Linked DNA regions of Saccharomyces cerevisiae S288C. Changing the gene in region 1 together with any one later gene gives a genetic interaction. Each region holds a gene or a part of one and is shown on either strand. Other genes may lie near its edges.

Region 1 (4,300 bases):
TTAAAACCATGTCTGTGTCCTTTAAAGCGTTGTTCAATCCGTCTGGCTCTTCTGGAGTAAACCCCTTGACCACGGAGTTTGTTGGAATATGAGACAAATCGGTGGCAACACCTTTTGCGCCCTTTAGGTCGTACAGTCTTAAGTCCGTGACTTTATGGTTAAGCTTTAGAAGCAAAGACAATGGTTGTCCAATACCACCGCCTGCACCCAAAACAGTCACTTTATAAGGGTTGGCAACTGTAGAGGAAAACGCACGTTTAGCTACTCTTGACAACATTGTATATGGTATCCTTCCTTTTCCTTTTGTTTTTTTTCTTCCTTTCCGTAGATGTCCACGTATAATATATTGTATATCTATATGTGTATTCGTTATCTTAAGTGGAGGAATACAGTACAAACACCCAATGCGTGCTAACACTTCTTTTTAAAGCGCAAGCTATATATATTGTAATATCCGCCATTGTATTATGGCAACTTTTTTTTGTATTTTTCTGGGAATCCGCTTGGCGCGTGATTGAGCCAATGAACGCTGAGTGAATGCCGAGAAGGGGGGGAGAAGCTGGCAGGAAGGCCCAACCGCCAGGTCCCTTGTACCTCTCCGGCGCCGAGGGTCGCACAAACTGCTAGTGCCTACTCTAGTTGTTGAATAAGAAATTGATTAATTAAATTGAGGGATTTTGTATTAGTGAATTATAATTTATCTATGTTTCTTATGTAGTGTTATTAGCGTAATCATTATTCGATGTCGAGACTGCTGCCCAGGTACATGCGGATTTGGCGGGGAGTGGCCGGTAGCACCCTGCAGCGCACGGGGAAGGCGGCGTTCTGCGTTTCGCGAGCCCGGCGGTCGTATGCCTGTAGACGGTGGCAGCCGCCGAAGGCATAATATAGCGTCTGTCCCTTGACTCGCACGCCCAGCACGTCCACGGGCGGCAGTTCCCCGGCTGAGGCAGCCGCCTCAGCCTGTTCTAGAGAGCATGTCTTGCTAGCGGTGGGAATGCCCTTCATTGTGGCCACCATTGCGTCGATCTTTTGAGGATCCAACACAGGCGCTAGGGGGCGTCTGATCTCTGAGAGAGGAATTTCTGTTGGTTTTACACTGTTGCTTTGTAGTGACATATTGTTCTTTTTTTACTTGGTTTTGTAGTTTTTTTTTTCAGTAAGAAAAGTATATATAGCTCATTGATGGTAGATATTGTGGTTTATATACAACACCTCTTGACATGTATTGCATCGCATCCTTACCCAACAGGGCTACTGTAATGACTAAAAATAATGGCGACTTCTGGGCCGGCCTTCTAAAAAAAAGGGACCCGCAACGGGTAACGGCATATTTTTTTCGAAATCAAAGTTCCAGCTTTTCGATGTTTGTAAGCCTTCTAAGACAGAAAGATGTAGTATAAATGATGTAGCTTACTAATCAGGGAAAAAGCAATCGCTAGTATTGCAGAGGCCAAAGGCTTAAGCATCACATTTCGGTAGTAGTAAATAGTTTGTTAGTTCACGTGCTTTTCATTCGTCTCTATTTTACATATTATGATGTCTTCAGACCAACAGGGGAAATGCCCCGTAGATGAGGAAACCAAAAAGTTATGGCTACGAGAACATGGCAACGAAGCGCATCCTGGTGCTACTGCCCCAGGCAATCAACTAGAGTGCTCTGCAAACCCACAAGATAACGATAAAACGCCTGAATATCACACCACGGTGGATCTCTCTCAGTCCAGAGAGGTTTCCACCATACCAAGGACGAATTCTGACAGAAACTGGATATACCCGTCGGAGAAACAATTTTACGAGGCAATGATGAAAAAAAATTGGGATCCGAACTCAGATGACATGAAGGTGGTTGTGCCTTTACATAACTCCATCAATGAGCGGGTTTGGAACTACATTAAAAGCTGGGAAGACAAGCAGGGTGGTGAAGCGTGTGGCGGTATCAAATTAACAAATTTTAAAGGTGATTCCAAAAAACTGACACCAAGGGCCTGGTTCAGGTCCCGTATCTTGCACCTGGCCAAACCTTTTGATAGACATGATTGGCAGATAGATAGATGCGGTAAAACCGTCGACTACGTAATCGATTTCTATTCCACCGATCTGAACGATGCAAACTCGCAGCAACAACCACTTATTTATCTCGATGTTAGACCAAAATTAAACAGTTTTGAGGGCTTTAGATTACGGTTCTGGAAATCTTTAGGCTTTTGAATTACTACAACTATTCCTGTAAATAAAAACATACCCTCCCTAGTTTCCACATACATATTTATTTAATCTTATTTAGGCACTCAATTTAGAAACTAGGGAATGAAAAAGCAGTAATCTTCTTTTAAGGAATAAACAAAAAAAAAAAAAATAAAACATAAAACATAACACAAAATACTCTTTTCTAATGCATTTAAACTTCGGTTTTCACGTCTTCCTCATCCTCTTCGTCTTCCTCGTCATTGCTCTCATCGGATGCTGTTTCATTTAGAGCTTCTTCCTCCTCCTCGTCCTCCTCATCCTCTTCGTCATCCTCATCATCGTCGTCCTCATTGTCAGCACCCTCTTGTTCTTCTTGTTCTTGCTCTTTATCACCAGTTTCCTCGTCCCTAGCTTTCCGTATTTCATTGATTCTCCTCCTAACGATCTCTACAATATCTGTCCATTCTCTCATACCACCCATACCAATATCTCCGCATATTAATACCTTTTCCACCGGTTTCAAAACTTGGATGAACGGATAGTCTTGCACTAAACTCGTCAGGTGTTTCTTTGTCATAGGATTGATATACATGAATGTATTCATTGCAGGCGCAATCAACACTGGGGTCAGTGGTGACCAATCTCTCATCACAGAAGTTAGCAAATTGTTACATATACCATTGGCCAGTTTAGCAAGTGTGTTAGCTGACAAAGGCGCAATCAGGAAAATATCAGCCCATTTTCTTAATTCATGGTGCAATATCAAGTTCAGACTCAAGCTAGTATCATTCTTATTCACAGCGTCGAATACCCAAGCGTCTTCCTCCCTCCAAATTTTAACGTGTGTTGACATTTTGAGCCCTTTCAAAAAATGCTCAGCGGGTTTTGTGACAATCAACTGAATAGAGATTTTCTCAGGCCCATATATCTTGAAAAGTTTATCAATAATTAGAGGTACTTTTATTGTGGCAACTGAGCCCGTCGCACCAATGAGAATGTGGAATTTCTTGTCGTCTTCCTTCTGAAAGAACTCTGTGAAGGGTACACGAGGCCCTGTGGGTGCAGTGATAACTTCCTTGTTTTTATGTGTGGAGTTATTAGCCGATAATGGCGCCGCCTTTGCAGTGATAGGTTTAGAAGCGTTTGACTTGGGATTGAAGTAGATAAAATCACCTGGCATATGAACGATAGAATTTTTTTCCATCGAAGGTGAATCTACTTCATCTTCGCTATTGCTCGTACCACTCGATACCGAATGTTTCCTGATATCAGTACCATCATTAGTAGTGTTCTCCTTAAATATTGCATTCGCTATCCTCTCCTTTTCGTCTATCAGTTGCTGTCTTTCAGTTTGCTTTTTTTGCACTTGCTCCTGAATTTGCTTCACCTCTTCTTGCTGTTTTGCTCGTTGATTTTGCTCCTGCAGTTGTGCCTTTTGCTGCTCTTCTTGTTGTTGATTTTGCTGCAGTTGTTCCTGCTGCTGCTGCTGCTTTCCAGGTTTATTGGATATCGAATATCTATGATACGGCAACCTTTCCACCTCGGGCACCGTAAATGAAACAGCAGAAGGTAATGAAGGTGAAAACCTTTTTTGCTGGCCATTTGTATTAGCTGGCATACTGGTGTTGATCTGTATTTCATGGCCATCTTTGTTCCTTTCACTATTTTGCTTCAGATTGGCAAAAGAGAAATCCCTCAAATTTGTGCTATAATCGTTTTTGTAAATATTCCTCCTATTAGAGTTGGATTTTGATTGATCTTCATGACTATCAGATCTTTCGAAATTTGATTCATCGTGAATACTTTTTCTTCTCTCCTTGTTGGTCAAAATTGAAACCGGCACTTGTGTTGTAGGCAAGGATGAAATTAAGTTAACTCCCTGCTTACCGTTCATATTCTGATCTGAGTTCACTTTTTCATCCGTCATCACACCTAATAACTCTTTGCTGGTCCTTTAGACTTTTATTTAAATATGCTAACTAAGTGTTACTTTACTGTTCTTTCTCTTTTTCTGCTTTTTGTTCTCTCATCTACGAAAGTTCGGTGCGAAATTTTACGTGATTCATTTTCTTACAGAAAAGTTCACATGTTTAACAGTATAAGCGTATGG
Region 2 (4,707 bases), on another chromosome or scaffold:
AACATAGAATCCAAAAATAATACGTTTCAATTGGTTTTGATCAATTTTTCCATCATTGTGAATACCACAATTCGATGCTATCGTATCGACAAAGCACTTTACCCAGAGAAATTCGAAGCCTCCAACCCGCACTTACCGCCACATATGGCGTTATCAATGAGCCTCACGGCAGGGCTTTTTTCCAAAACATTGGTGTTTTTTTGTTCTCTGATCTACTTTAAGTTGACGCTTTTCGAAAATGGACTATGTCTATCCAACGATATGGAAGTTGGATGGTCGGATTTGACGAAATTGACTGTTCCTTTAGACAAGGATCTATCTTTAGGTACAGCAATGAGCTTGTACTCGTCAATCTTCGATCGCTTGTTCACGGTCGGAAATAAAGAATTAATACGCACAATGCATAGATCATCACAATTTGTGATAGAGCTAGCTATTGAAAGGACCTATAGGACTATTCTTGGCAACGTTATTGAATTCAGAAAGTTGACCGAGGAAACATGGCTAGCACAAATCAAACAAGAACTAGATCCGCAGAGCGATAATCCATCATCAGAAGCTAAAATTGTGAGTGATAGGCAGCGGGATCTCAGCCTTGCAGTTCCAACGCCCACGCCCTCAATAATTCCAATGTTACCCTCGCCTGGTGAAACTAAGAACCATGCAAAGAGTCAATCAGAGATCATTCAGATGCTGACAGATGAATTTTGGGCAAATTATAACTCAGGCTGGGAAGAGTTGATTAATCAATCTGAATTTTCCACTCTTTTCGATGATTACAAAGACAATTAATGCTAAGTCGAGGCAATCTCGCGGCGCGACTACTTTGAAGCCTTTTTTTAGTTCTTTTTTATGATCAAAATGTTTATATAATTACCCAGATTATCAACCCACTTCGATGATGGGCCGCACCTGACAGAAAAAAATGAATCAACTGGCTACTAAAGATGGTACAAAAGTTCACTTTATTCAGATATAGAATTGCTGAATCGCTGCTTACCGCCATACGCTTGACTACTTTTACACCCGTACACCACACATACAACCGTACGACTACTTTTCATGCAACAGCGTGCGTTTCGACATGTCTTACACACGAGTAGATCATCCCACTGGAAAAATGGCTTGTCACCTGAGGCAGATTTTGGCAAGCCCACTGTTTTTCGCAAATTATGTACTACATGCAGCCATTCACTACCCTTCGAGCGACATACGCGGCGACATCCTGTAGAGCAATGTTGTCCTTACCAAGACGTCTTGATGAAGGATAAGCATACGCGAAGAGATTTCCTCTCGGAGAGCCTGCAGGGAGCGGCGCACCTCGCCAGCGGAGTTATCACACGTAATGGTACTGAGTGAGAGACCCCGCCCGACACCGCACGGCCATTTGCAGAAAGAAAAACAAAGTCCACTACGGCTAATTACTGCAGAATGCTTTTTTTTCTTTTTTTTTGTGGTTGGTATGTTCCCTTCTAACAGGATTCTTCCTTCGGTAGATCCTTGAGGGGTTTAAGGGGTTTTCTGTTTGCGTAATGGCGTAATTGCCAGCTATATATAACATTATCATCACATATATATCCTTATACGTAGCTTGCCCTTATATATATATTGATATGCGGATATTCGTTGAATGTAGTTCAGTCGTAATCGCTACTTATTGGTAATCATAGCAATTGAATGCTTCTATATTCCTTTCTTACTTTTTTTAATTGCGCATTATAAAAAACTTGAAGGTGCATATTTCCGATTAGGGCCATCAATAGTGACCATAATTATCGGTACATTAATACGTCATGCCATTGAATGAAAAATACGAGAGGCCTCCGCAACCTCCTCCAGCATATGATCCCAACCATAGGCCGCCCAGTTCTTCCGAGAACTCTGCCGCGGCGAATGTCAACGATGGCCAGACGCCGTACCATTTTAGACAGGATCAATATTACAATCTAAATTCCAAAACGAGTGGGGCTCCTATAGGGAGCTTCGACGAGGCCTTTCCTACTGAAAATGACAACAAGCCCAGGTGGAACGATTGGCCATTTACCATTTTTTTCCTATGCACGGTAGGCGGATTCATCGCCATTGCTGCCATAACCTTAAGAGCGTGGTCCCAAACCTATAGCAGTACGGGTTCCGGAATATACGATGGTGTGAATACTGGTACGCTGAACACCAATGCTGCCATCCTGCTAGTTTTCGTGTGCATTATTGCCCTAGTATTCTCCGTTTTGGGCCTCACACTTTGTCGAATTTTTCCGAAGCAGTTTATATATTGCGGTATGGTCATCAACCTAGTGGCTTCTCTTGGGACTGCCATCATGTACATGTCTTTGAGGTACTGGTCTGCAGGTATTGTGTTTTTAGTCTTCACGTTCATGACCGCGTGGTGCTACTGGGGTATGAGGTCTAGAATTCCCCTTTCTGTGGCGGTATTGAAAGTCGTCGTCGATGCCATGAAGAAATGCCCACAGATCTTCTTTGTTTCATTTGTTGGAGCGCTAGTTGCTAGTGCGTTTGGGTTTCTCTTCTCAGCAGTCATTGTGGCTACGTACATAAAGTACGATCCTAATAGCTCGAATGGCGGCTGTGACGTTTCTGGTGGCAGCTGTTCGCATTCCAAATTGATTGGTGTTTTGGTTGTGGTTTTTTTCTGCGGCTATTATATCTCTGAAGTAATAAGAAACGTCATACATTGTGTTATTTCTGGCGTCTTTGGCAGCTGGTATTATATGTCAAAGTCTGACCAAGGAATGCCAAGGTGGCCCGCATTTGGAGCATTGAAGAGAGCCATGACTTACTCGTTCGGTTCCATTTGCTTTGGGTCCTTGCTAGTCGCTTTGATCGACCTGTTGAGACAAATATTGCAAATGATCAGACACGATGTTACCTCCAGCGGTGGCGGTCAAATTGCCATCCAGATTTTGTTTATGGTGTTTGACTGGATTATCGGCTTTCTGAAGTGGCTCGCCGAGTATTTCAATCATTATGCATACTCGTTCATCGCTCTTTATGGTAAACCGTATTTAAGAGCGGCCAAAGAAACCTGGTATATGTTAAGAGAAAAGGGAATGGACGCCCTAATCAATGATAATTTAATTAACATTGCACTGGGTCTATTTTCAATGTTTGCTAGTTATATGACCGCTTTGTTCACGTTCTTGTATCTAAGGTTTACCTCGCCTCAATACAATTCGAACGGCGCTTACAACGGCGCCCTAATGGCATTCTCATTTGTTATTGCTTTACAGATTTGCAACATTGCAACAGAAGCCATTAGATCCGGTACTGCAACTTTCTTTGTTGCTCTTGGTAATGACCCGGAGGTCTTCCATCATTCTTACCCTCATAGGTTTGATGAGATTTTTAGGGCATATCCTGATGTACTCAGAAAATTGAGTCACCAGAATGTGTGAAGAGATGTTTATCATATGTCACTATTTCTCCTTGTTCTTCTTAACAATTCTATATTTAATTACAATATTTTAATACTTAATTTTTTCTACTTCAATTACCTTTAAGTTCTATCTTTATTAAATTGTTTATTTTGTTTTTATACATTCTGTGCAGATTAACAATATGCTATTTATTAAATGACTATTCAAACCTCGAATTGATATTCTTTCTTGAATACCATCCAACAAACGCCCTAATTCCTTCCCTCACCTTTCTGTAATCCTTTGAATTCAACCCCTCAACCACGGCCTTCGCCAAATTATCTCTTTCATTAAGGGTTACTTGGCCAAGTTGTTCCACCACTTTGTAAATCCAATCGATGCAAATAGTGGCATCGTTGTTGTTTGCCTCTGTCAATATCCTTAAACATTTTACAATACAACTGATGGCATCTGAATGAGCGGTGTTTTCAAAAGTAGTAACCAGCCCGATGAATAACACTAATATCAATTGGTTACCGTGGGCTATCACGACTTCGTTAATAACTTGCTTCCTCCATTCATCTGGAACAATCTCGATGGACACTGTTGAGATCGGTGGAGTCTTGAACCCCCAGGATATGATATCATCTAAGCAACGCAAGATACATATGTAAGCATCGTAGTTATCAAGCTTATTAACACACTCGAGGGCAACATTCAGTACGGGGCCTAGAAGCTCTGTTGAATTCAAAAATGCGCCAGGATAAAACATTATCAAGTCTGAAATTAATGAGAAAAAATCGATTATTGCCTCATGATAATCGTTTAATTGAAGTTTATCAAACTTGTTGAAATTCAGTATGAACGTCTCGCATTGGGAGAGGGCAAATTTCCAGACAGCATCTTTCAGACTCGGGGATATGGGGAATGATTCATCGTCACCAAATATAACAATAAGGGAACCAGAACACCACAGATAGGAACCGAATCCAGTCGTTAAATAACCTTGGATTAGAAATTCGGCAACAGAAGGTAATATTGGCTCGCAAAATACATGAAATCTCTCAAAAATTCTGCGTAGCAATTTAGCTACTCTTTCTACGATAATACTATCAGTCATTGCACCTGCATCAACTAGCAGAGTTCTTAATGCCTTCCAAATAAATTCTATCCTGGGGAGTAAAGGTTCCGATCCTTGCTGAGGATAATTGTATCTCGGTTTCAATTCTTCAAAAAGCGCATATAGCAAATCAATCTTATCAGCAATCTGTGGAGCCAAGAGCGTTGGATTTGCTTTCCATTGAGGAATCAAAGCCTCGATTTGTCGCAAATT
Region 3 (3,631 bases), on another chromosome or scaffold:
AATCTCTTTTTCCATTTTGATTAGCTTATTGCGACATGGACTATGAATTATAATAACTTTGAAAATTCGAAGGGTGATGGACATTCTAGGCTTCCCAAACCTACATACTCCGGAACGCTATCAGATGGCTATGATGAATCGAAAATTAAAAGGCAAAAAACAGACTCTGCTTTTAATGCAGCTTACTCACCTCATATGTATCCGAACTCTCCGTATTATGAAGGTTCATGGAATACCGGTTATACTCCTCAACTTCATCATGTAGCCCCTCATAATCAATATTTCCATCCAATACAACCGTCCACTCAGTACAATTATACGAGTCCTCCCAATTATACAGAAAATTACATACCGCCAGTTCATCAGAATATATCTTATGCACCAGCGCTTAATTTACAGAAGTGGCCATCATCATATTGTGAAAACACTCAAGCCTTAAAGAATGATAAAGATTACCAAACATCAATTAGTTATGAAGATGTTGCAATACCGACCGTAAAGGAAATACAATTGATTGAGAAAAACAGAGGGAAAGATACGTTTATGAATGAAATAAGTCCAGTACCATCAAGCAAGGATCAAGCATCTGCGGAGCCTACAGAAATCCCAAGAAAGGATCCCGAGCTGGCAAATTCTAATGCCGAAGATGATCATAATAACTTAGGGCTAGAAGATGATGATCGTGATGAGCAGTTAGAATCAGAGGGGTTGGGTAAGGTGGTTTTGGTTCCTGGAACCTCCATAGCATTGATTACTGATGAAGATGTTAAAAAGTGGAGAGAAGAAAGAAAAAAAATGTGGCTACTGAAAATATCCAATAACAAACAGAAACATATGCAAGAAATGGGCATAAAGGAAGATGAACTGAAGAGCCAACCTAGCATTTTCAAAGAGTCAAGGAAAGAAAAGCAATTTATACAGAGTATTCAAAATCAAGTGCAGAGAGGAAATCCGAAGATTGACTTGAACTTGAAATTGATACAGCGAGAATTCGCAAACGAAAACTCCCAACTTTTGGACTTTATAAGAGAATTGGGAGATGTAGGATTACTTGAATATGAGCTATCTCAACAAGAAAAAGATGTACTTTTTGGGAGCTCTGAAGATAATAATAAAAATCATTACAAACCAAATTACAAAAACAGGAAACCTAATCTGAGTAGAGCCAACTTTACTAGAAATAAGTAATAGAATAGCAAATATTGATATACATGGAAGAGTACATGCAAAGGTGCGTAAAAAAAAATAAGTCAGATAAAACTAATTACTGTTTAGAAATCATGAGTATATGAAACTAATTTTGAAGAGCTTTAACTGCTAGGTTACTTAAAACAGTAGTTACAGCAGCACCAAGGAACGAACCGAAAATGGCACCTTGGTAAAATGAACCCTTATTCTCTCTCTGTACTTTACTTTCAGAAGCGTCTTTTTTCTTACTTTTCGTTCGTGATTTTGTGGAAGATGTTGTCGTTTTGTGCTTCCTGACTCTACCAGGCGACACAGCCTTCTTAATGTGTTGTTCATTATTAACTAATGACTTTTTATTAAGCGGTCCACCGTTTTTGGCTTTATTTATAACGAACCCATCAGCAGAGTTTGAACTTGCATCTGTCAGTTTATGCACTCTAAGTTTTTCTTGGTCGTTGTTTTTCTTCAGTGTAATCAATGCAGCGTTGTCTTCTTTCATTGCTGTCATTTTTTGGAGAAGTATTTATATATTTATTAGTTATTTAATGTGTTTATAAATTTATCTTGAGGCTGGTGAAATCTATTCCAAGTATTTTAAATATGTTTGCAAATGCGAGTCTACTACTTTGGTTCCATATGATGTCAGTTTTACAACAATTTATACTAGAGATAGCCAATATACTTGTTTCAGTTCTGTTTTGCCGTAATGGAATTATAGCTCCGACAAATGTAATCTTATGCACTGAAATTCAATCCATTGTGACAAGAATTATGTATTTTAGTTCTTATTTGATTTATTTCGACGCCTCGCGCGCGCTCTTAGAATCCGGCCCGACAAAGGATCTGAAACAAGTATAAATCAAATGGCCAATATAATGTCAAGCCTGTTTTATGTGGCAATGTTTAGACAGAAAATCACGCCTGTAGGGGTCCACATATCTCCAGAATAATTAGAGAGTCGGTGTCCTTATGAGATCTTCCTTAAAGCGAACAGATTGATTAATCATGTTTTACGCGAGGATATACGATAAAAACAAGTGAACAGCTCTTACATAACAACGCACTCACTTTTCTCTTTTTCAGAAGCTTTTGCATTGAGAAGGCTGCTTCTTCGCTTAAACTTGTCTTTTTTGACTGGTGCGTGTATTTCTGAGTTTTTTTTGTGAGAATGGATTTTCCTTTTTGCTTCAAATTTCGTAACACGTTCTTGTTCTTGTTCCTGTAACTGTTTGGCTAGTTCTTTATCGTTTTCAATTTGCTGAATTTCTTCAAGTAGCAAATTTCCAGTTCCAAAATCACGTTCAATGTCAGTTGACAATTGCTGTCCATTTACCTCTGCTGCACTAAAGTTACCGGCAAAAAAAGCATCGCAGGAGCCGTCCACCGAATCTAGGGATTGCCATACAATATCTTTACAATTTTTATAACCAAAGTCCGTAACCAATGTGTATAATCGATCTTCGTATTTGAACAATGTAGAAAAATGGTCATTTCTGAATAAAATGGAGAATTTGTTGTGTAGCAGCTTTTCTCTCAATCGTAGGAGTCCAAAGGCGGTCAACTGAGTCGGTGATTCGTTCAAAAACAGACCCAAATGCATGGCATCACGTAAAACTTCGTCCGAGTTTTCATCTTGGGAAATTCCACAATTTATATCAGCTGCTTGTGTTAAGATTCTCTGCGCAGATTCATAAGAATAATGAGATAGTTTCTCATCAATGTTTTCATTTATGAAACTGTTGATAACCCAGCCATGGACAACATCAACGTTAAACAATCGAAATATTGACATCTCTTTAGTATTTTCAAAAGACCCATTAAACTCAGGGTTAATATTTAAACCTTCATGTAATCTAGGTAACAAACTTAGTAACTCACTTATATCAGTACTAGGTTTATCTGTAACTTGTAAAGCGATATCTGCTAAGACTTCAATAAGTTCTTTTAAAGATATTTGACTTCCCTTATTTACCAACCTTATTAACTCATTGGAAAAACGTGTATGATCTGGTGAAAGTATTAGAATATTTGCAAGTGCTAACAAGGCACAAGGTCCGTTTTCGTTTTGCAGTAATATTCGATGGTTTTGACCATTAATTTTGACACTTTTAGTCGTGAAACTTAAATCCATGAAAAGATATTGCAATAAACAAGAATTGCAGTGATGTGAATCTACTTTGAGCTGTTCTTTAAAGCGCCTTGTAGAATGGGCATTTTGTCCAACGTTTTCAAGACCCTTTTTTCGTACTGCTCGCTGTTAATACTGCGAAACTAAAATAAACGACAGGCAGATGACTAAAACAAATCAAACAAGAACCTCTAGGGAAAGGTGTCCTAAGCGCGGAACTTCTTTTCGTTATGGGGTAAATAGAGCGGTACTTAATAATCTGTTTACAAAGCAATTTTACAAAGTTTTGATATAAGAACATTTAACTAAAGAGAA

The links.
Region 2: mutations in CYT2 (region 1) and PNS1 together harm fitness more than expected from each alone (negative genetic interaction), as found in Saccharomyces cerevisiae (2 studies listed by BioGRID).
Region 3: mutations in CYT2 (region 1) and PRM3 together harm fitness more than expected from each alone (negative genetic interaction), as found in Saccharomyces cerevisiae (2 studies listed by BioGRID).

What each region holds. Positions count from the first base shown.
Region 1 is NC_001143.9:275,100-279,399, reverse strand, and holds CYT2 (cytochrome c1 heme lyase CYT2), read left to right. Parts: upstream 1-1,536; coding exon 1,537-2,211; downstream 2,212-4,300. Other genes in the region: malate dehydrogenase MDH1, read right to left, coding at 1-277; SRX1 (sulfiredoxin), read right to left, coding at 736-1,119; phosphopantothenoylcysteine decarboxylase complex subunit CAB3, read right to left, coding at 2,402-4,117.
Region 2 is NC_001147.6:635,645-640,351, reverse strand, and holds PNS1 (Pns1p), read left to right. Parts: upstream 1-1,793; coding exon 1,794-3,413; downstream 3,414-4,707. Other genes in the region: YRR1 (Yrr1p), read left to right, coding at 1-792; YOR161C-C (uncharacterized protein), read left to right, coding at 1,085-1,231; mRNA transport regulator MTR10, read right to left, coding at 3,595-4,707. UniProt on the Saccharomyces cerevisiae protein: Probably involved in transport through the plasma membrane.
Region 3 is NC_001148.4:181,361-184,991, forward strand, and holds PRM3 (pheromone-regulated protein PRM3), read right to left. Parts: upstream 1,697-3,631; coding exon 1,295-1,696; downstream 1-1,294. Other genes in the region: RSA1 (Rsa1p), read left to right, coding at 43-1,188; MIY2 (ubiquitinyl hydrolase 1), read right to left, coding at 2,237-3,319. UniProt on the Saccharomyces cerevisiae protein: Required for the fusion of nuclear envelopes during mating, ensuring proper karyogamy. Plays a role in the initiation of outer nuclear envelope fusion.